Linked DNA regions of Drosophila melanogaster. The protein of the gene in region 2 purifies or fractionates together with the protein of the main gene of each other region. This does not show direct contact. Each region holds a gene or a part of one and is shown on either strand. Other genes may lie near its edges.

Region 1 (11,536 bases), on a different chromosome or scaffold from region 2:
TCACGCGATTGGCATGGACTGCGGTCACTACAAAGAATGATAAGAAGTCCACGGATTAGTCGGGTTTTTTCTCAAATCCACATTGTATGATTAATATTTATACTATATATATGTATATGTTCTTAAAGAGATTGAATTTACTTACTTACATACTTGTAAAATATATAATTAAATTAAATAAGAACAACTTTTCATCTTGACTTACATAGAAAGCTTCAATATACTGAATCTACAACCAAGTTAGGCTCCAACTTCTTTATAAAAAGTGACGAATATCAAGTTTGAAGCCTTTGCTTTAATCAAAACAAAAAAACTCACTAGGCAAACGACGAAACTTATTGTTTAATAATTCTGCATATATGTATTTATCAATGAGATTTATTAGTGGTCTTCCCATTGAAATTGGTTCAAGGTCCCAGTGATCTCAAGGCGAACGCCACCGGATCACGGATCGTTGTAATTTGCAAATATTTGCTAATTAAAACTCGCGTATGAGACGCGTTTTTGTTAAAACAGAGCTGCGAAAGCGACGAAATAAAAAAAAAAACTTATAATTTATTCACTTCTTTGTTGTTAGGGGAACCATAAAGCGACCACCAAATGCCATTATGGTCGCATATAAAACATGTATGGATGGCAAAAAGACTGAAAAAGAAACCAGGCGAATTGGTTCAAGTTCAAAACTGTTTACTGAAAGCGGGTCAAAAAGAAATATATGTATGTATGTATGTCTGTATGTTCGTAATTAGCCAGTACCAGAAAGAGTTTCACTGTTTGAGCATCCGAGCATCATTCATTGCATAACAATAAAGAGCGTGGAAAGCAAAGAAAAGTATGTGGAAAGCGACCGAAACAATGCCACTGTTTGACTTTTGCAGATAAACAAAGTGCAAACATGGATTTATATCAATATTTGCACACAATTTGTGATCCGAGCTGCGGATGGATTTGATTGTTTTATGGCCCTTTGTCTGCGCACTTTGAATCCCCCAGCCAGATAATCGAGATCGAAATCCGTTTTCCCATGACTTCGACCCATTTGCATATGTACATACATATGTACATATATACATACATATCTCTTGGGTTCGAATGTTGCGAACTCTGTGCCATTTAATTGATTCGATTTTGGTCCAAAATTTGCATTCGATTTTGCTTATTTTTTGTTTAGCTTTTTTTTTCCTTTTGTCGGCTTTTCAATTTTCGTTTTGTCGGTTTTCCCCCCGCTCCCCCCGGAAATGCGATTTCAAAATGTCATTGGGCAATGCGCCCGTTGGATCCCGCTTGCCATCTCTTTCGTCCGCCAGCTACCCCTGTCTCTCTCTCTCTCACTCTCCCGCTCTTCCACAAGTTTCAACATGTTTATTAGGAGCTCGTTGTGGCTTGCGTGGCTTTTGTGTGGCCAACTGAACAGGCCAATAATGCAACAGGCGGTGCAATCGTGGCTTATTTGGTAATTGTTATTCCACAGGCTCCTTTATTCTCCGCGTTGATTGATTTTCGAAAAGGTTTCAGGCTAATCATGTTTGGTTTTTCAAAGCCAGCACACAATTGCAAATCCATTTTTGATCAAAAGGGTTAATTGGATTTTGATACATTTTGATACATTTTGATTGCTTTTTGATTGAATTGCGCATGAAAAGCTTAAAATTAAAAAAAAAAAACAAACTTTGCGAATGGAGGAGGGCGGTTCGTTTGGTTATTAGTCCAGATTATTATCCTATAACATGTGGTTATAATCTTTTCTTTTTTTTCCATATTGTTTTGCTATGAAAATGATTGAAAATGTTGAATGAAATGCTGTAAGTAATTTGATTAATCCTTGTATGCTATCCTGTTCATATATCCTTTTCGTTTCAGTTTTGGCTACATCCTTTCAGTTGCTCTCGAAATTATCACAAACACACACACACACATTGGCACTTACACTCCTTTTTTTTCGATTCCTTTGATCGTTGTTTTCAAGCACGTCACACGCTGCGTATGAGCAATGCCAAACGCCCGTTTCGCAATCCTTGATACGGGTTCTCTGGCCTCTACTTGTATATGAGCACCTCGTTGGGATTTAGCTAGGCCAAACGATCTTCGTGAGACGACGCGCCGATCGAAATGTATGTACGTCCGAACAACGCGAGGTCCAAACAACGAATGACGCTGGCTGGAGAGGCCTCGTCTAGAAAAACAACGAAAAAGCCCGAGGAGAAACAAAAATTGTTAAAGAAATTAACTGGATTATATAATGGCCATGCCACCACTACAGCCGAACATTATGTATAGCCCACTGAGCCGAGTGTCGAATGCAATCTGATCGGTTTGTTCGCTGGGTAAATGCTGCTGCTGCGGCTGCATGGAGATTGAGTTGAAGCTGGAGATGGAGATGGAGATGGAGGGAACAAGTTTTTGGCCAGCCGAAACTGAAAGTACGAAGTACACGAACCTTTTGGCCACATGTTTTTTTTTTTTGTGGGATAGAGCCTGATCCCAGCCATCAAAGGCAGCCATAAAGTATTAAAGAGCTGCTTGTTGTTAGGCAATGTCAGTTGGGCAGTTAGTCACTTGCTCACTTGGACGCTTGGCCACCACCAGTGGCTGTGGATCAGGTTCGCTAGCTGTTCATTTTTAACTTTACTTCACAGTTAAACCTTTGTGAATCCATAGCTGTACTCCCTGCCCATTTGCACGCCCATCATTTCATTCATTAGGTTTGTTCAGAAACGTTTGCATTTTCAAAATTTGCATTTTCATGGCTCGACTTGAGGTGGCAGTGAAGCGAGAATGGTGGCCAACCTTGAAATGGCAATACCCCATTCGTAATGATGCTGTCGCCATTGCTAATGGTCCAAACACCTAATGACCACCCGGCGTATACGTCATCTGGCGATCGGATGATATGGCGATGTTTATCCAGCTCTCCAGCTCTCAAGTTCCAGTTTCAGTTTCAGTGCCAGTTGGAATTGCGACTGCAGTTTACGACTGGGGAAATGCGTTGGCCCTTTCGGCTATTTCGGACTCTTTGTGGACCCACGGCCATGACGTGGGCTTGGACCAGTGAACATTTGGACATTTGGACATTCGAACATTGGGACATCTGAGTAGCGTTGGCATTTCGGCATTTCCCAACCCGAAGGGCGTAGGTCCACAAATGCATGGGGGGATTCATTGAGCTGCGATCATCAGCATGCTAATATAATGATTAGTTTCCGTTCGCCCGTGGGCGAGTTGATTGGATGAATCGATGGATGGGATGGCACGCCCTGAGTGCTAAACAATCATTAGACTGCAGTGTGAAAATGCCTTTGTTCGATGATAATTAATGTTGATCTTGTTATGAGCCTTGATTCAATGACAATTTCGTTTCGTTGATAGCAGAGAGAAGGCCGCTTGAGAAAGATTTCCCTTCGCAACCTTGGTGGTTAAGTGAAAAACTCCATTTCATTAGCATTTGGCTATGTGGATTAAGAGCTTATGGCCATTGGGTTTAGTGTAAAGGTGACCCACGCATGAAGTTTTGTATCTAGGATTATAATATTCAATGCTAACTAAAATCTGTATAAATCTCATCTGCAAGTTTTAATGTAGTTACTCATGAACTGAAGCTGTGGTTTAATGACTTGAGCTCATTGACTTTTAAGTTATTGTATATTAAATTTGAATATAATTAACCTTCTTCCAAGTATTCTAAACAAATAAATAAATCTCTTAATACAAACAATTGTAGTAACCCAAAGTGGTTACATTCTTTGGTATACTTCCGTGTGCTAATCTCCTGTAGTCTTGCGACTCGGTTATTCCCCGCTTCCAGTGATAACCTTCGCCATTGTCCCTGACCAGCACGGATTGACCTACTCCAGCGCTCCACCGGCACAGGCCGATCTTAAACGGATTCGTTATGTTGGTAATAAACGCACTCGCTTTGCCAAGTGCTCGGTGTAATGTTGCTCACTCATCGCTGGCACGATTTTGATTTCTCACTCTTTTTACATTTATTTTTTCGCTTTCGTTTCATTTTGCCTCATTTATTTAACATTTTTGTTTTTTTTTTGTAGCCTGGCTTGCCGCATAACGAGTTTACGGCGCAGATGCCCCAACAACCCGTCCAATTGCTCCACATCAGCTGGTAGCTGGCAGGTAGTCCGCTCATAAAGATGCCGCCACCTCTCGATGCGAACAATAATAATAATAATTTTTAATAAACACATTACATGGCGCAAAGCGGACGAAACAATTTGCAATTTCTGTGAATCGAGGGGGGAGGTACATCTGGAACTGCTGGATGGGGTAAATTTTTTGAAACCTTTTTTTTCGAAATATTCGGCCGTGCAAACAAACAAGTCTCACTGCCCACAAGATTTTACGGTGCTTTTGTGATTTTGGTCTTAGCCATAATTAACAGCGAAGAAAATCAGCGGCAGGGCTTTATTATGGTTTCGAAAATGAATCAAGCTCCAGCATACACGCACATTATCTATCCTATCCATACATTCTCTTTCTGGCTGCTGGCTATTTTCGGGTCTTGAAATCTTCAAGTCTTTCTTGATCCGCCGAAAATGGCAGACGTTTGATTTCGTACAAAAATTTGCATATCATTTTTGGTGATTTACAGAACAATAATTTATCATCAAAGTCTTTTTAGGGCATCGATGAGGGGGCTTATTTGGCCAATACGCAATACACACTTTGTTGATACTGGCGCAGTTACCACGAGCCCACTTGACCACTTGCCAAAGGTAAATAAATTCTTGGCTCACTTTTGGTCGCCGAATTGCGTCAGCTGTTAATTATAATTGCACAAGACAATGTCGTTGCTCTTGAGCCATTGTAATAAATACTAGGTAGCATAATTACTGGGGAATGGCCTGGCCAACTGGGCTGTTCTGGCCAATTGGAACCTAACACGGCTAACTTAAACTAGATTTGCCTGCAAAAGTGTGATGCAAATTAAAATTAAGACAATTGCTCAAAAGACTTTGGTCCAGTTGGACGCAATTAAATATTTATAAATAGAAAATATGCAATGATAATTACCAATTTATACCAGTTGAGTTAAATTAACCATTCGTTTTATGTTCTTGTGCCATAAAATAGAAATTTAGAATATGATCAAACTGTTTATACATAAAATTATAGTTATGGCCACTTTCCTACTTTCTGTAGAGAACAAAATACCAGCATAGCGTTTTAAACCCCGATAACCTGTTGCGCGCCAATGGTTACAGGTTTCAGATAAGCATCGATGTTATTAACATGAGTGCGTGGGTGCTAACAGCTCTAACAGGTGGATTTCATGTAGAGAGATAACATTGATTGAAAGTCACGATTTCTGATCATTAGTTTCTTTATTCGTTAAACAGTACACATAAAGAACGAACACATTTACACACAAACAAAAAAGCAATCAAAACTCGTTTTGTTCAGCTGAACAACAATTTTCGATCATACATTATTACAATTACTTATCAATTATAACCAAGTTAGCAGCCCTTCAAAGCAAAGCGCGACTTTTAAACGGATTCTCCGCCAAGTTTATACATTTGATATCTATGCTACGTTTGATCATTACAATAGGAGTATTTAACTTAAGATTAGAATACGCTTAATATAATGCTAACTGAATGCAAGACAAAGAACCTACACTTATGTATATATGGGGTATCTAAATAACTCGGGGCATGCTAAACAATAGGTTTTAGCCATTTATTAGTGTTCGTACATTTAGTTTTCAAATGAAATCATTTAAAAATAGTTTGATTTACAAAAACTAGAAGCTACATAAAAACCGCGTCACGATCTCGCGGCACTCATAATGAGATGCTTTTGCTTGGCGCCAGAATGAACGAATTCAAATAATTGCCATGGGAAATCTGGTGGGGGAAAGTTATTCGGAGACTACTTAACCAAATATTAGTACGTAGGTAATATATGCATAATGAATAATAATCCGGCATGAATGCTGGGTGTGCGGTAGTGGTGTGTGGCGTGGGTGGATTTGTGTATGAATAGGACATGACCGGAACGTATCTAAATTATCGCTTATCTACTGCAGATATAGCCTATGATAATCGTTGGCGCCGAAGGCGCAGTTGCATTTGGGACACTTCCGCTGCCGCGTTTCATATCTAGTGCGCAGGCAGTCGTAGCAGAAGACGTGGAAACACTTTGACAGGACAGCATCCTTCCGCTTCACCTTGCACGAGGGACACGTGAGCGTTTCTTTGTATTCGCGGATCTCCTCAATCATCACCTCGTCGATGGTGGTGCCCGACATTTCCATCTTCTTCATGCGCTCCGCCTTGCGTTTAAACTGCGCCAGCTCCTCCTGCAGCCGCTTGGTCTTGTAGGCCTCCGCCTCCAGCGAACTGGTCTTCTCCGCCACCACTTGCTGCGCCTCCTTCATTTGCGCGTGATACTTTTCCAGATGCAGCTTGAGGTCCGCTGCCGATTGCGCCGATTCAATCGCCTTGCGTTTGTGCATCTCCATTGCTTGCTGCCGCAGCATCAACTCTTTCTCAATCGACGCGACGGTGGCCTGCAGGCTGCGTTCCTTCTCCTCCAGCTTTCGCAGCACAATGTGCATGGCTTCGATTTGCGTGGTCGCCGTTGCCATCTGATCCTCCAGCACCGTCTTTTCCTCTCTCAGAAGTTTGTGCAGCTGGTTGGCCTTGATGCGCTCCGACATTAGCTTAAAGTTCGCATCGTCCTTCTCACGCAGCTGTTGTATGAGCCGGGAGTTCTGCTCCTGCATGTCCTCGAACGCCTGGCCGGTAACCTCCATCTCGTTCAGCAGTGCCTCCTCTTCGTGGGAACCAACAAACGGTCGCGTGTAGTTCGCTGTGCCGGGGGCTCCACTGCCCCAAGAATTATCCGTTGGCTTGTGGTTGGCCATCTGTTTTTGCAGCTCGTACTTCTGCTCCTCCAATTGCTTAATCTTACGTAACGCCTCCTCGTCGGCCAGCTTCTTGCGTTCCTCGCGCTTGCTTTCCTGCAGCTTCTTCAGCTGCTGGCGGAGCTCCTCGATCTCGGAGCGCAGTTTCTTTTCGGTGGCCATCAACTGGACCTTGTCGCGCTGATCCTTCGATACGCCTTTGTACATATCCAGCAGGAGTTTCATTTCTTTCTGGTCGTTCAGTGCTTTTCTGTAAATCAAACAATGTTAAATAGATAATCGTAATTGCTGAACAAACTTACTTTAGTTGCGCCTTCAGATCGCGCACCGTTTCACTTTCCACTGCCTTCACATCCTTGCCCTTGACACCATCCTTGGAATCCTTTTCGTTTTTGACGGGAACAGAATTGGTCGCAGAACTTGTTGAGTTTCCGGGTCCAGGGGAATCCTTCTTCTCAGCTGCCGCCGCGTCTCCAGAACTGAGCTTCTCCTGCTTGATGCCGTCTTTTACGTCCTTACCACTGGCCTCGTCATCAGCTTCATCTTCAGCCGAGATATGGTTCTCCTCCTTGATGGCTACGTTGGTATCGTTGCCGGAATTTGTTTGGTTTGTTTGTCCACTGGCGGAAACGTTGTTGGAGTTCTCCTCCTTCACACCTGTTGAGTTCTCCTGCTTGATTTCTTCGCCAGCCGCACCAGTCGCCGCCTGCAACTTGTTGCCTTCGAGTGTAGCTAGTGCATCGGCCAGCTCCTGACGCAGCTTCAAGTTGTCCGTGGACGTGTCCTTGTACTTTCGCTTGTAGCGCTGCACCTCACCCTTCAGTTGGCCATTGTGGTTTTGTAGAGAGGTGATCAGGTGGCGCATCTCGCGATTGATGGGTGCCGTCTGCTCGTTGGCTGCCATGTTCTGCTCGAACTCAATGCGTAGCGTTTCGTACTCCTTTCGGATGAGGGCTAAAACGTCCTCCATCTGGATCATCTCGCTGCGCACCTTCTTCTGGGCAATAAGTTCCTCGCTCTCCATCACTTCGATTTGTCGCAGATGCTGGTTCTTGCTCGTTTGAAGCTGGTTTCGGGTCTCGTCCAGCATGGTCTTTATCTGCATGGACTCGTTGTAGAGCACGGAAAACTGGCTCTGCAGGCACTTGTACTCCGTGGTTTCCACAATTACCGATTCCGGCAACTGTCGTATCTGGAATGGATTTTAAGGATGAATCAGTATAATACAAAGAAAATATAAACGAAATGACTAACTATAATTAGCAATGCTCCAGATAAGCTAATACATTATTCATTCAAAACTTACATCCATTTTAAGCTTCTCCACCTCCTTCAGGGTTTCGCGATGCGTGGCGTGAAGCTTATCCAGCTCCTGCAGTCGGTTGTTGGCCAGTTCGCGGTACTCCTCCAGCTCCTTTTGCAGCTCCTCCAATAGCTGGCTATTAACGCTGGTGGTGGCGCCGCCGCTGCCTGTGGTAGTTGGTGTCTTGGCACTATTAGTGCTCTTATTGGGATCACCGTAAATCTGGTGGTAGGCCTTCAGCTTTTCAATAGCCTCGGCCAAGTGGTTCTCCAGCTTATCATTCCGGCAATGGATCTTCTCTAGGTCATATTGCAGTTCGTCTATCTGGTTCTTCAGTTCGGCGTTCTCCGTCTCCTTGGCGGTATGAGCGTCCTGGTACTCCTTCATCTTCAGCGACATGGTGTGGAACTTCTCGTGCAGCGAGGTATTCAGATTCTGCAGCTTGTGATTTTCGCTCATGATCTCGATGTGCGTTTGCTTCAGGGTTTCCTCTAGCGCATGGACACCGGCCGATGACGTTGTGGTCTCCGCATCGCCGCTGGCCTGCTGCTGCTCCTCCTCGCCGCCAGCTCCCGCTCCTGAACCGGAGCCAGCTGAAGCCAGACTATCACCTTTCAAGACATGAGTTATCTTTTCATTGCGTTGCATTAACCTATCAATAACCTGTACGATCTTGGCGACCGCCCTTTTGGACACTTGGACGCGGTTGGCCAGCTTCTCGTCCAGCTCCTCCTTGTCCCAGGTGGACAGTTGGGCGAGAAACGAGGTGGTCACCTCGTTCTCATTCCGGTTCTCCAGTTCGTCGGCCGTCTCGGCATCGAAGCGCTGCAGCAGGACTCGTATGTCCTCGTTCAGCTGATTCCAATACCGATTGACCACGTTTAGAACGGCGTCGTCCTGCGTTTGCCGCTTTTCCAGCTGCTCGATTCGATGTCGCAGCTCCGCCTCCGTTCGCATCCGCTGTTCGATGCGCTGTGCTAGCTTCTTGTTCTGGAATTCCAGCACCTTGATGTCCATCTCCTCCAGCGTGGACACCGGCCCAATCAGATGGGGCTCGAAGTGCACCTTCTTGATGGGCGGCTGGCCGGCGGCTGCGGCGGCCACCAAGCAGCTGCTGCCGGTGGCGTCGTCGGCGCTCCGTTTCGACATCCTTGCACTGCGGAAAACAAGATTAGGACTGATTTCAGTTGTAAAAACAATTGGAGTGTTGAAAATTATTGATTTGCCCATTCGTGGCTGTACTCCATTTTTTATCGTGTGCGGCGGAGGCGGTGGCGGTAGAGGCGTAACGCTCCCGCCACTGCCAACATCGCCATGCCTTCGGTGTACTCAAAATCTAGATGGTGGTGGGCCACTTACCTTAATCTCGGGTTTATACACTTTTAACTTAACATTAATTAAGGTTTTCTTTTGCTTTTCTACGTTTTGCCTGGCTTCATCAATATCGAATGCGGGCTGCGGTCACACCTGGGAATTTTCACAGCAGCACGGTAACACTATTTGCAATACTCCCTCGCATTTGCGTTCACGTTATCGATAACTATATGTCTGTGCTTAGCGGTAAATATCGAATAGAGGCAGGTAAAACTAAAAATACTAGATTCAAAGCGGGAAATTTAAATTCACGAAAATTAAGCAAAAGAAATATATGATTAACTATTTCGAATAAAATGAACAATTTAAAAATGCATTAAAAAGCCATAGTTTTGGTAACTGGAAATCGAAAGTGAATTTCAATTTATTAAGTAATTTGGGATCGAACACGAAATGCACATGCATCTAATAATTAGATTTTAATTTGATTATTGGTGGCTGGGCTGTGTGGCGACTACTGGACTGGTGCTGTACTGGATGTAGTGCTGCCCGACTAAAATGTTTGGTACTTCAGGGCCTGTCGCAGGGTCATGCAGTCGACCTCGTCGATCTTGCAGGTGTTCGCCTTGATGTTGATCTCCTCCTCCTGCATCACCTGGACGTGCATCAGGTAGCGCATGGATGCCTTGTTCTCGTTCAGCTTCTGATTGAGCTTGCATACGGATGCCTTCAGCGCCTGCAGTTCGTTGTAAAGCGCATCCTGGACCATGTCGCAGGTCAGCTCCAGGCCAGGACGATGGGCGCGATTGCTGAGCCGCGTCTGGCACAGTGTAATGGCCCGCTGCTTGTCCATCATCTCCTTCTCCAGCTCGGTCATGTTGCGCTGCACCTGATGGATGTGATCCATGGTGTCCTTGTGCTTGTTCTCCAAACACTGTTTCACGTGCTTCGTCTCCGAGATCCTTCGCTCAAAGGCCTCGTTGGTCCTGTCCGTCTGGTTCTGCATATCCTCGCACACCTGCTTCAGCAGCAAATCGATGTAGGCCCGCAGCTGCCCGGCGGACACCAGCGCCTTGGCGTTGGCCTCCAGATTCTCGTACGTCTGCGCCTGCCACTCGGTCAGCGAAAATTGGCTGGGTAAGGAAGAGAAGGGGGTAAAGGCATGGTGGAGTCATGGCAACTATCAGGTCGATTTGAGTGGTTGTAAATAAATCACTTAATTCCAATGCACTAAAATAGACTCAGGACAACTCTATCCCATATCACCAAGGAAACTGCGGTTTCATTGTTAGGTTTGACCTTCCTCAATTCCATTCCTAACTGAAAAGGGGAACAACTACTTGACTTTGTAATGGAATTTGTGGATAAGACTCTAGTAAAATGTTTATCCTTTTAAACTCCTTGTACTGATGAACACCGAAATGACTTACGCATAAAAGTGAAAGAAAAAAGATTAATAATCAATCCACTTCATCATTCCTTAAAAAGGAAACCCCAACATGTGTGATTGACATGCAACCTAGTTTTCAAAAACCTACCAATGCTGTTTGGACAAATCCTGTCCCTTAGCCAGGTCGTGCTGGAACTCCTTGAGCTTCAGGTTCTTCTCGTCGATGGCCAGTGACTTATCCTTGGCGGCCAGATCCTGATCGAGCAAATAGATGGCGGCGCGCAGCTTGCGGATCTGCTCCTCGGCTTCCTTGAGGGCGGCATCGGCCAATCCCTGACAGCCCTTGATCACCTTGAGCTCACGGCGCAGCGAGCGATCCACCTCGTCGTCGCACAAATCCACACCGATCCGACCTTCGCGTAGGATCAGGCACTGCTTGCAAATGGCCAGCGACTTGTCCTTCAGGAACTCGATGCAGTTCAGCACGCGATTGCGATAGGTGTTCAAGGCCTCATCCTCCAGGGCGGCGGTCTTCTTCTGGCGATTCAACTCGTCCACCAGGAATCGGATTTCGCTCGTCCGTTCGCGCATATGGTGCTCCACCTCCCGTTGCCAGTTCTTTGTGGTGTCCTTCGTTTCGTCCACC
Region 2 (12,486 bases):
AAAATTACTGCTGAATTCGCGATTCATTCAGCTTCAAATGTCCTGAAGAATTAGCGTTAAATTTGAAGTTCCTTCCCCAATATCAATAAGTAAGACAATTCGAATATGTTTCCCCCCTGTTACCCCAAATTTAATTATAAAAAATATACACAAAAATAAAAAAGGAATCCTATTAGTTGTCTCGTTTGAATTGTGCTATCGCATCATGCAGACTATCCAGGAGCCCAAGTTCGATTATCTTGTTGTTCAGACATACGCGCAGCAAGCGCTTTATCGTCGAATAAATTACCTCGGAATTAGACAAATCATTGGTGGCAGTAGTACGCCAATCAATTTTGCTAAGTATCAATTTCTCGGACTCCGTAAAAATCTCTTCATCTTTAGATTTACTCTTGGTTTCTTCATTAGATGACAATCGTCCACTCTGCGGTGGCTTGCAAAAAGTAAAATCACATCCATTTTTGTCTGCCATTGCCTGCTTTTGCTCCATCTCTGCAATCTCCGCTCGAACCGTCCTTCTGATTTCTTCGGCAGTCTTTGAAACATACTTTCTTGGCTGTTCCTTTGTGAAGCAGTTGCAACTGTACTTTCCGGTAGACTTAACTCTGGACGAGGACCTTGGCGAATCCTCCCTATAGCAACTGAATGGTGTTGATATGCTAGACTCTCTCTTCTTATATTGAACTTGATCTTTAGGCTCTTCAAATCCGGACATCGATTTCATTTTACTGTAACTTTTTCGTCCTTTATCCGAATGACTAAACTGTATGTCGGAAATCTAAGGTCGTAATTATGAATGAATAATCAATGATGGGATATTTAATTTTTGATCACAAAATGTCAAATGATAATAGCGATTAATGAAGAATTCGCGGCATGTACATACATACATATGTACATACTTTGGAATAAACGAATTATTGCTTATTTACCCGCGTTTGTTGTGGCGTTCGAGCAGTGGACTCCGCCGAGTGCGATAAAAGGATTTTCTGTCCAAGCGCTTCGTTGCAGTATGGACATCTGAGATCTGAGCATCTAACGCCATCGTATATATATTTCGAACTTTTCTGAATAAGTAAGCGACACGATTCAGCGGAATTGCATCGCTACATTATAATTGAATAGTTGAATCATTATAAACCAGAAACGAGGCACTATTCGCCGGGACTCACTTTTAAAGACGAGCAAGAGCAAGAGCGGCGGCAAGAGCAATGGCAACAAGTGCATCCATTGTAGAAGTTTTCTTCCATTTTATTCATTGTTCAGAATCGAAAATCAAAAATATTATTATGTTGTTAGAGATTTTTTCGTATGACTTTCGTTTACGGGAGCACGATTGGAACTGATGCTTTCCTGTGACACAGCGTGTGAAATGGGAATCAGGAAATGAAACGCCTACTTGGATAGACAAAACTCCCCATTGAAATAACCATAGTAACCATTATTTTCTTGTTGTTGTATTTTTTAATTAATTCATAATAAAAGTTTCTATTTTTCGGTTGTTTTTTTTTTTTTTTTGTTTTGTTTTCGACGCTTAGCTAATATATTTTTTATATATTATTTATATGTATATCTACAATAGTTATTAGCATTATCATTATTAAACTGTTTGCTTTATTTTTGTTTCGAATCTGCGCAATTCGCAGATCCATTCCTTTTGTTTGTTGGTTTGTCAAGTTAAGATTTAAAAAAAAAAAACTCAAAATTACAATTGTTAGTTCTTCTTTCCCCGCCCTTCTCCCTCGTGTCTGCTTTCGCTTCGCTACGCTTATGTAACAATAAAATTGTAGCTTTTGCCAAATAAATAATATATGCATATATAATAAAATATATATATATATATACGATCATATATCATAAAGACATTAATGTAGTGCATACAAAAAAAAACTAAACTAAAACAAATCTATCTGCAATTTGAATCGGAGGTTAAAGAATATGGTGTGTTGTAAATATAAATTTTTATGCTTATAGTTTTAAAATAAAAAACATGAATTGTAATCGGTAAATAACTACAAAACAAGATATAAATTCTGCACCAATTAGCAGGATACCAAGCCGATGATCAGCAGATTAAACAAACATTTCGATCGCACTGTAAAAATAAATGTGGGAAGTGTGGTGGCTGCCAAACCTATAAATAATATATATACAAATAAATATATATATATAAAATTGTCGATTTCCTCGTCCCGAGAAGCGTGCATTCGGTTCGACTTGACTCGCATTTTGGTTGTCATCGTAATCATTTTATCATCATGATTTATCCTCCGTATTTATGTTAGGTGGATGTAAATATACACTCTTTCATATACTCTATTTATATATATTTGTTTATATATAATTTGTATATAGTTTAATTAGCTTTTTATTGCAGTTGAGTATACTATGTTGACTTGTTTTTTGTTGGTGTTGTTGCTTTGCTGGTGTTGTTGATCCTATTTCGTTTGTTTATCCTTTTGTTTTGTTTTGTTTCTTTCGATTCGATTCGATACGAGGCTTTATCCATATTGCTTCTTGATCTTGATAGGTCGGCTGTTGGCTGTATTCTTCTTTTGTAGTTATCTTGAATGGTGTTGTATTTTATTTGTGGCTATTTCTCTGGCTTTTCCTCCGTCTTGCTTAATGCAATGCTTATTTTAGTTTATTTTTGCTTTTAATTTACGCTTTGCTAATTATAAATTATGTTTTAGTTTTTGTGTTTCTTGTTGAAGTTCTTGTTGCAGCTGTTGGTTGATTTATCCTGATTTGTCCTGTGCCAAGTCCATGCAGTCCGCTCAGCCAGTTACATACTGCCACTATATAGTCGGTTGGGGACTGGAACTCGATCCGAACACAAGTGAATCGCGGGCTGGTTGTGGTGGTGGGGAGAGATGCGTCGCCCAGAGGAGAGAAGTAAGAGGATGGAGCAGGATGCACGCGGTTTCTCAGTCATTGTCGTGGGCCACCGCCAGTCGTCGTCATCATCTAAGCCATTTCCAGATGCCCTCAATAAATAGGGTTGGATCCGGGCCTGCTAAACGAGGACAAGCTGCTGACGGCGGCCACAATCGACCAATCATCATCGCAATCATCATCAGCTGCGCCAGAAGAAGCTCTTTTTGAGCCTAACAGACAGCTTGCGATGTACGCGCAGCCTAACCTGCTCCTGATCCTAAGTATCGTCTGACATGAACGCGTTCTGAGTCTTCGACTCCTCGATACGGCGGATCTGGTGGCGTAAATACATAATTCTGCGAAAGGCAATACATAAAATGCATTGGTTAGAACAACTACCATTTAGATGTCATTGCAACACTCACTTTTGTTCCTGCAGGGTGGCATTGATTTCGGTGCTTCGCACCAGGCTGCGGGCGCACTTCAATTCCGCGCATATCCTCGTGCACGTTATGTCGCCAAACAGGTGCGTATCCTCACAGCACTTCTGCGCCTTCGAGAAACAATGGAAAACATTTACAATCAGTTCGAGTCCATGGATATATGTATACGTATGTACAGAGGTCGGGTTAGTGCCTTATTCGCAGGCAAATCCTACCTCACAGCTTACCTGACGCTCCAGCACCTCCGCGTGCCAATTGGTCACATGCGCGATCAGATCGGCGCGGAAGTATTTGGCCAGCTTTGGCGAAATCTCGGGACCACGTAGGTTTGCCGCCTGTCCTGAGGAACTCACGCAGCTCTGCAGTGAGCTCAGCGTGGCCGACGACGTCCCATCCACTGGAATAACAAATGGGCAAACATTGTCATATATTTTAAACTCGGAACACACTAGAATTTTGAATACATACATTTCCGCTGCTGCTGGGCCTGTTGCGCCGCCTGTAGCTGGAGGCTTGACGCTGTCGCGGCTGCCGCTGCGGCGGCCAACTGTTGCTGCTCCAACGCCGAGCCGCTCAAATCCAGCTCCTGGGTGGGCGTAGGCGGTCCTTCGCATAGCGTGCCGCTGTTGCTGCCCATCGAGGTGATCACACTGATTCCGCAGACGGGGCCCATGCCGGGCACGATGCTTTGGCTGCTATTCGCTCCACTGGAGCCGGAGGAGGCGTTGCCACCGGGCGTGGCCGGTGAGGCATTCGCCACCATCACTCCGCCATCGAGGGTAGCCTTGAGGCCAAAGGGTGGATTGCAGGTGTAGGCGATGCTCATGTTGTTCGTGTGGCCCACAATCGTCGGTATGGGACTCTTGGTGAAGTTCAACGAGGGCGACATGCTGTGGTGCATATACAACGGCGAGTTTACGCTGTTGTCCCTGCAATATTGATATCCATGAAGTTTAGTTGATGATCTTGCAACATGCCTTCAATAGCTTACCGTAAGCTGCCGGAGACCGAGTTATTGACCGAATTGTAGGCGTGATTGGTCCCATCTGACACCGAACCAACCGAGTTAACGCCGTGATGTGATTGTACATCGAGGACGCCCAGGCCCAGGTGCATCTTCTGGCGCATCAGCAGCGCCTGATCCTTGCCCTTGGCACCCGGTGGCAGTGGAGCATTCGAGTTCAGATGATGCTGGTGCGGATCCTGACTTCCCAGTGTGGGCACAGTCGTCTGCAATGCATAATGCATATAAATAAGAATAAAGCCAAAGCTTAAGGCTATCAAACAAGCCAAACTTACGCCAGATGTGGAGCCAATGTGACCGACAACGGAGTTCCTCAGACTGCTGCTGCTGGCATTGCTGCTGCTGCCGCCGGCACTGTTGCTGCTGTTGCTGTTCAGCATTCCCGACATGGTGGGCAGCATTGTGGCGCCCGTCACCGGGCCACCGCCCGTTCCGCTGCCGTAGTGCAGTCCCCCCGTCGCACCTGTGCCCGTCGCCACGGATGCGGAGGAGTTGGCAGTTGGGTGGGAGGACAAACGAGGCAGGGCATTGCCCATTGGCTGATCGCTGTTGCTACCGCCGCCGCCTCCGGGACCGCCTCCGCCCGGACCGCCGCCGTGTGTGGTGGGCGTGCCGCTTAGCGAGTAACTGGCTTCCGAGGTAGGCGTCGAGTCGCCGCTTATATCCATGTCAGCATTGTCGTTGTGTCGACCTGTCGGTAGGATTTTAAAATCAATTAACTAGATCCTACGCAACCTGCTTTATGCTCACCATCCAAACGCCTTCGATGACTGGGCGGACCGCCATCGTTGTCGTAATTCCATCTCAGTCGTGAATTGTCCCGCGAAGAATTGGAATGTTTGTATGCTGCAAAGAAAAACACATGTTTTGAATATCATATTTGAAATTTCTGAAGCAGGTTCTTAACTCACTTGATCTGGAGAAACGATCATCGCGGTCGCGATCGCGATCCTTGTCACGATAATCCTTCTCACGATGCTGATCGCGCGGCAAATTTCTGTAACCATATAACACATTAATGACTATTTAACCAAGGACTAGGGTGCTCTTATTACAGATTCTTCCCAAGATCTTTGCTGGTCATATTATAATGCCATTGCCTTTACCTTTCTCTGTCCACCCATTCCTTTGGCTTCTCCCACTGAGAGATTTCCGTCTTGCAGTTGTAATAATACATTTTGCCTGAAAGCAATCCAATATTATAGTTTGGAGCCTGGAGAAGAATAAGCTGTCATGGGGGGACTCACCTGATGAGCTGACATGCTCGCTCCAGTCGCCATAACGCGCCGTCCGTTCGCCGCGATCGCTGCGCTCTCGTTTGTCTAACAAAAAAAAAAACAAAAGCCACAGAGTATGTTTAGTAAATAAGGGGAGATGTGGGGTAAATGGGCGCTTGGACCTACCTGCGTACTTGTCCTTCTTGTACATGTCCCTGTCGCGATCGGAACCGCGGTCCCGCTTGTCGCGCAAGTCGCGCAGATCTCGATCCCGATCTCGATCGCGATCGTCGGACCCGGATCGTTTGTCGTTCTCCCGCGAGGAGCAGAGCTTGCCGCTGCCGCCTCCGCTGCCTCCTCCGCCACGACGATCCCTATCATGGTTGGTGCGATACGACGACTCCGAATCGCGATCGTTGCCACGCCGATCACGTTTATCTATGAAGAATAGAATAATGTATTGTTATGGTATACAACTCCAACTTGCAGCTGCGCTAACTCACCTGAATATTTATCCTTCTTGTAGACATCCCGATCTCGATCTCGCATCTTCTGCATAAAGCTGTACCGCTCGCCACTGCCGCCACGCCCATTGCCGCCACCTCCGCCCCGATGATCGCTGCGGTCGCGCAGATCGTGCGAACGGGACGACGGCGAATCAATGTCCGGCGACTGGGAGCGGTAGCTGTTGCCATTGTTCAATGGTCCGCCGCCATTTCCGCTACCGCCGCCACCTCCTCCAGCGGATCCGCCGCCTCCTCCACCGCCAGCGCCTGGCGACAGGTCACGATCGCGATAATTGGAGGAACGATCGCGTTCGTAGTCGCGCTTTGAACTGCTGTACTTTGAGCTCTGCACGGGTAAATAAAAGCGCACACAGTTTTTAGTCGATTTACATTCCCAAAATCAATTGCACAGTGCTACAAAATACAATGTTTGTCGAGTACTCTCTAAGAAATCGCAGTAAGGATTCAAGATGTGGTCAATATAATCAGTACATCAAGTAATGTAGCCAATATATGAGTTTTTCGTGTTCCAACAAATGGGATTAATTTAGGAAATCCTTACTGAATCTCTTGGATAGTACCAACCCACTGGTATATTTAGTATTGCATTCTTAATAGCGGTTGATTTAAGTCTCGGTTTAGTTGTAACTTTTGAAGTTGGGTGGTTGGTTAGTTGAACTAAATCTACTCAATAGGAAAATCATAAGTTAATGCATAATGCCAGCTACTTTTGCCAATTTTCTCGCTTGTGATTATTGCCAATGGAAACGAAAGGATACAAAAAGAAAGTTGGGTGAAATGAAACTCCCGATGGTTTGAGAAATCAAATGTGTAATCGAGAAGAATTTTGAAATGTGTCGTGTGTTTGGTGTGTGTTTTGGTTTATCGTCTCCTGAGTAAATTATATATTAATTGAAACTAATTATTTAGGATTTTTTTAAGTGATACTTTCGTTTTTGGTTCATATTGGTCGTTGTCTTCAGGTTATCCAAACTGAAAATCTAATTGTCCAGTTTAATATTAATCAAAATTAAAATCCTTGTTTGTTGTCCATCGTAAATTTTGGGATCATCCATAAAATTCCAATCTTGTGTTTATCAAAAAATTTTATAATAATTAATAAAGAATCCTTCATAATTGAGTGGTGTTTCATTGTTTAAGAGATATAGAATAATAACTCTTTGGGTGTTTGGTATGTAAATCATAATTTGTTGATGTTTTTTATTAGCGGCGATTTGTGTGTCGTTTTAGTCAGATTTTTGTTTAAAATATACGAGTTTGGATGGAAGATTTATTCCTGCTGCATGTTTCATGTTCTGTTGCCTTCTTTTGATTTTTATTATTCATTATTAAGTAATTTTATTTGTTCCTTAATTTGAATGTTTTTTGTTTATTCCTTATCAGGATTGCTTTTCCTGCGCACAGCACGATGTTCGTGGCACTTTATTGGTTTTTGATCACTTTATTTGCGTTTTTATATTTTACTATTGTTTTTAACCATTATTTTCTGGGATCTTTGGGTTACTTACTTCTAGGCGACAGAGACCCACTGCTGAAGGCGTTGAATTCGCTGCCAGCGTCGCTGCTGATGCGCTGTTTTTGTTATTGTTGTTATTGTGGTTGCTAATGTTGCTGTTGCAATTGGCAATTGTTGTTGTCGAAAGGGAGAGATCAACAGCCATGTTGTTGCTGTTGTTGTTGCTGCTGCCGTAGGAGTTTTTGTTGCTCCTCATAGATAATTAATTGAAGTGTATTTGGTTTTAATTTGAATTAAAAGTCCAATTGGTCGCTTGTTTTCGAGGGCACACTTTATTTGGCTTTGGTTTATTTCCTATTTGTTTTGCATTAGTTATTTGTTGGTGTCTTAATTGATTGTTGTTGCTTTATGTATGAGGCACATTTGTGTTTTTGTTGTTGTCGTTGATTATTTCGTTAGACAATTTGGAAATTGGTTTGTTCTTCCGTTCCGCACATTCATGTTATTTTTAATATTGGTGTATAATTGTTTACTACGTCGTTTTTAAGGCTATTTTAATTTGATTAGGTTCCTATTCCTTAGGCAGAGTTTAGAAATTGGTTATGCATTCGATTTCTAATTAATATAGTTTGATAAATTTGTATACTTTTAACCATATATATCATTCGATTTAAAACATTTGTTGGTGCTGTTCGGTTAGATGTTGTAATTGATTAAATGATCGAATTCGGATTGGGTTTGTTTTTTGTTTGTTTTTTTTTTTTAGCAGTGATGCGTACAGATTCGTTTCTCAAGTTAAGATCAGTTCAGGCTGCAATGCCGCGTTTTTGAATGGGTTAAAATGAAACACGATTCGGTCAGTTCAAAAATGGATGAGGTTACGGGAACGTAAGATCTGGGATGCACAACAAAGACAGCGATTGACAAAGAAGGAGAAATATGAACCAAAAATAATCCAAAATCCAGGCTATACAATTTGCAAATTTTGTTAATTTTTCTCTTTACCAAAATATCAGCAAATGACACTAGGGAAATCGACGGTTCGATAAAAATACGATTTACATTGGCTTTTACATTCTTTTTTTTGTGGCTTTGGGTGCACTACGGGCTAATGAGCTAAACTACAAAATTAAAAATGTCCACTAAAAGCTGGCATGTAAATGTGATTAATTGCGGTGTTCGAGGAGAATTTTCGGATCGGTCTGCTTACCTGGTATGATGTGTGACTGGTATGCTTCTCAAAGTACCTGGAAAACGGTGGGGCAAGATGAAGAGTTCATTAGTTTCCTTTCAAATGAAGTTGGGTATATAAGACACACTTAGTTGGTTTAGTTCTGCTATACTCGCTCTAAATATGTAATGATTTAAGGGAAAATATTCAAGTGTTTGAAGGAAACACAACAATGTTTATGACATGACAAAGTGCATATTTCGAAGTTAACCAGCTATTTCAGCTTATTTACAACGCACTTTTAAACGCACTGACCTGAATCGATTTTTGTCAAATTCTCTATTTTAAATCCCTTTGTTTGTGTTAGAAAATCAAATTTAAATATTAAACCCACTAAATAAATGCCAATTGTAAATCGATTTCCCAATTCCGATTGAGCTTTATTTTATCAACAGAAGCGCTTATCAATTGCCGGCATTGATTTGTTGACAGTCATTAATTTTAGTTGCTCTGCGTTTAACGGACAATCGAAAGCCGGCTAAAAAGCGATGGTAAATAAACAAACAGCGAAACGCGTTTGATAAACAATGGATATGAACTAATTTTGCGGTGCAATAAGCAACTGTAAATGTTACAAGAACTATTTTTTTTTTTTTGGCCTTTTGCCAGCTGAGCGCGTGCGAGCGAGAGGCAACTATTGTGTGGTGAAAAGACGAAAAACATGAATAGCGCGAGAAGATGGATAAGTGGGAAAATCAAAGCAAGAAACATAGGGAAAACAAATTTATTTACGAAAATCACTTAATTAGGGTAAACGGAGAAAATTTGAGGATAAAAAGGAAACGCGGGCACTGCGAGTTAGAGCGAGATGGCAGTAGGACAGAACGTAAACAAAAAAATATACAATTATGAGTGTGCTAGTTTGCCTGTGTGTGTGTGATTGTGAGTACGTTGGGAATCACTGTTATTGCCGATATTACGGTAGATTGAAAATAATATTTGATATATTACCCATCGTTCATACGCTGCGGTTTTCTAGCATGCATTACCATCAATGCAAGTTTTTCGCCAAATACGCTGCTGCTGCTTCTGTTGGTTTTCCCTCTCTCTCCTGCTCCTCCTCCTGCTGCTGCTTCTTCCGCTGCTGCTGCTGCTGCTGCTGCTTATGCGTCTGCTTCCTCTTCTCCTTCGTCGACTGCTGTTGCTGGTAGTGCTGCTGCTGCTTCCTCTTCTCGTGGAGAAGATAATGCAGCCTTATTCCGATTTTATCCAATATTCTGGGGCCTTTGGCGCCTCCTGTTTGCTCCTCCTTTTGCCTCCACCGCTTCCTCTTCTTCTTCTCACCTGCCAAGGCACGCTCGCTTGTATGTGTGTGTGTGTGTGTTGTGGTCTGCTTGTATGGGAGGCTCTCAGTGGCATGTGTGTGTGTGTGCTTTTCGTCTGTGTGGCCCGCTGACTCGGTGTTTGTGTGGCGTATATGTGTGCCTGAATTGCGGTCGCCTTATTATCGGCTTATTTTGCTGCCTCCTAAAAGTACAAACATTCATAGCAATCCTTTAGACAGCTTCCTTTTTGTCCTCTCCTTAATGCAATTAGCATTCGGAACGCCTTTAATTTTTCACTTAAAGCACACACGGCATTCGCCTCTGCGTGCACGACCGTGAGTGACTGTGTGCGTGCGTCTGTGCATGTGTGTGTGGTGTCGCTTGATCCGTATTTCGTTTGACTTCTTTTCAATTTTACTCCCTTTTTTTCTTGGTACCTTACCGCAATTCGCAATTTGCCGCTCGCCTTCTTTGCTGGGCTGCAATCGCCGCATTTATTTGCTCAGCATTGAACGACAATTGTTTAATTATATGCCGACTTGCTGTGTTCGCTTTTTGGCCTCTATACTTGATGATTTTTTTCAATTCTTTTGCATTACGCTTTGTGCGGTCTGTTCGTCGGCACGGCTGTGTTGAGTTTGCCAGCAATCGGTCGCTGCGTGCGGCTATCCCTCTCGCGCGGCACGCTATGCGGGTGCGAGAAGAGTTCGGCTATATGTGCCAATTGGCTGGTTGATATGGTGGACTCTAGGTGGCGCCCCGTTTGTGGTATTTTTTAGTGCCTGACACCGCTAGGCGTTGGACGGATTGCAAAATGGTCACTCTGTAGCCGGGGATGCCAACTAGGTTCGCATTTAAATTCTTTTTTGGTTACTGTTAAATAATAAATATATATATAAAAACATAACTTTTAACTTTTAACTTTTAATTTGACTTTTGTTATTGTACATATTATGTATATACGCAATAGCTGATCTTTATAAACTTTCGATGATACTGAAATAGTTTTAGATATAGATAGTTTATATTAATTTATCATATATTGCACAACATCATTTCGATAGTATCGCATAATCATTTCGGGCACACTGCTCAAGGGTATTCCTATCGGATGTATTGTTTCTCGATAAGCCGACTTAAAAATTATATGTTTTTTAAAAAAAATTATATATACATATTTACACTTGAGAAATAAGAAAAAGCATTTGCATATTATTAAATTCAATAATTTTTTAATTTAATATAAAACAAAAGAACAAAGAATGATAATTCAAACTGAAAAACAATGAGATTTCTTTTCATATGCAAGATCTTAAGGTGGTATAACTGGTAATAATAATTATTTGACCTGCTTTGCTAAATGCCCTTTCCGACTCCGACGAAGTTGTCCATCGACTTGCGTCAGTTTCACCACAAACCCAAAATATATATGACTGCAAGCTAATATTTGAAAGTAATTAATTATTTGAATTAATTAAAATAGTTGAAGAAATTCTAGTGATTAACCTAAAAACATCGATAGTCTGAAATAAGCATCGATGTTTGGAATATTTAAAAAAAAACCTCGGTGCATCGATATTAGCATCGATGTTTCGGCACCTCTATTAAAAACTCATCCCGATACCGATAATAGCGGCAGAAGAATTTTAGAATTCCTTAAATATATATTGTTTAATTTGTAAGCATTTTTAAGGAATGAGTTTGAGCGACTGCAACAATAACTATATATATTTGACGGGCAGTGAGGATTACGCCCTTAATTTGGCAAAGGTAAGTTCTGAACATCGGATTCAGGTCGGTTTTTGAACATCAAATTGCATTTCTTTTAGCTATGCGAACGCTTTGCCACCAAAGAAAAGCGCGTCTTACTGATCACCAGTCGCCAGCAGGGAATGGCAAAGCGCTATCCATGGGAGGCCCATAACTGCAGCAAATACCTGACCATTCTGCAACTGGTGGATGTGGAGAGCACCCCGCTTCGCATGCTGGAAATGCAGGATAGCGCCGAATCCTTGCGCAGTCCCGATTTGATAGTCTTTGATCTGCAGTCGCTCGTTTTGGATGCACTACTGCGTCCTGTGATGCAGCAGTGCTCCACGAACAAAATGGTCCGGCAAATTGCCAAGTGCTCCGCATCCTTTGTGAATTACCGCGAAATCCTGGCCAATCTGGCGGAACAGAAGGCGGGCAAAAGCATCGACACCATTGTGGTCATGTCGCAGGAACCGTATCCCATGTCAGCAGCCCAGTTCAAGCTGCTTATTGGACTCTATTTCCACGGCAACGAGTGCCACACGAATTTTGCCAAGCTCTCGGCCAAGATCATGGTCTCCCAGAGATTCGCCTAGACGAAGGACAGAAGTTTGGAGCCACTACAGTGCCTTGGTAACCAGTTCCTGAGTTTAATCATAGCTGGCAGTATTGTAGTTATTCGCCGTATGCTCTT

The links.
Region 1: the proteins of wcy (region 2) and Bre1 purify together in Drosophila melanogaster (affinity purification with mass spectrometry, with the first as the bait; one large-scale study listed by BioGRID). This does not show direct contact.

The regions. Positions count from the first base shown.
Region 1 is NT_037436.4:5,784,511-5,796,046, forward strand, and holds Bre1 (Bre1), read right to left. Parts: upstream 9,683-11,536; 5' UTR 9,546-9,682; intron 9,343-9,545; 5' UTR 9,336-9,342; coding exon 8,190-9,335; intron 8,076-8,189; coding exon 7,186-8,075; intron 7,134-7,185; coding exon 6,035-7,133; 3' UTR 5,321-6,034; downstream 1-5,320. Other genes in the region: Tektin-C (tektin C), read right to left, coding at 10,054-10,633, 11,039-11,536. UniProt on the Drosophila melanogaster protein: E3 ubiquitin-protein ligase that mediates monoubiquitination of 'Lys-117' of histone H2B. H2B 'Lys-117' ubiquitination gives a specific tag for epigenetic transcriptional activation and is also prerequisite for histone H3 'Lys-4' and 'Lys-79' methylation.
Region 2 is NC_004354.4:17,067,199-17,079,684, forward strand, and holds wcy (wacky), read right to left. Parts: upstream 8,459-12,486; 5' UTR 7,801-8,458; coding exon 7,597-7,800; intron 6,414-7,596; coding exon 6,065-6,413; intron 6,000-6,064; coding exon 5,748-5,999; intron 5,667-5,747; coding exon 5,592-5,666; intron 5,527-5,591; coding exon 5,451-5,526; intron 5,342-5,450; coding exon 5,256-5,341; intron 5,191-5,255; coding exon 5,095-5,190; intron 5,036-5,094; coding exon 4,620-5,035; intron 4,551-4,619; coding exon 4,312-4,550; intron 4,250-4,311; coding exon 3,789-4,249; intron 3,718-3,788; coding exon 3,548-3,717; coding exon of another isoform or gene 3,536-3,547; intron 3,431-3,535; coding exon 3,303-3,430; intron 3,234-3,302; coding exon 3,155-3,233; coding exon of another isoform or gene 3,077-3,154; 3' UTR 1,820-3,076; downstream 1-1,819. Other genes in the region: CG43077 (uncharacterized protein), read right to left, coding at 173-778, 933-1,106, 1,173-1,259; CG4949 (uncharacterized protein), read left to right, coding at 11,736-11,810, 11,870-12,388. UniProt on the Drosophila melanogaster protein: Acts as a linker between gene transcription and histone H2B monoubiquitination at 'Lys-118'. Regulates the cell-cycle checkpoint activation in response to DNA damage. Positive regulator of amino acid starvation-induced autophagy.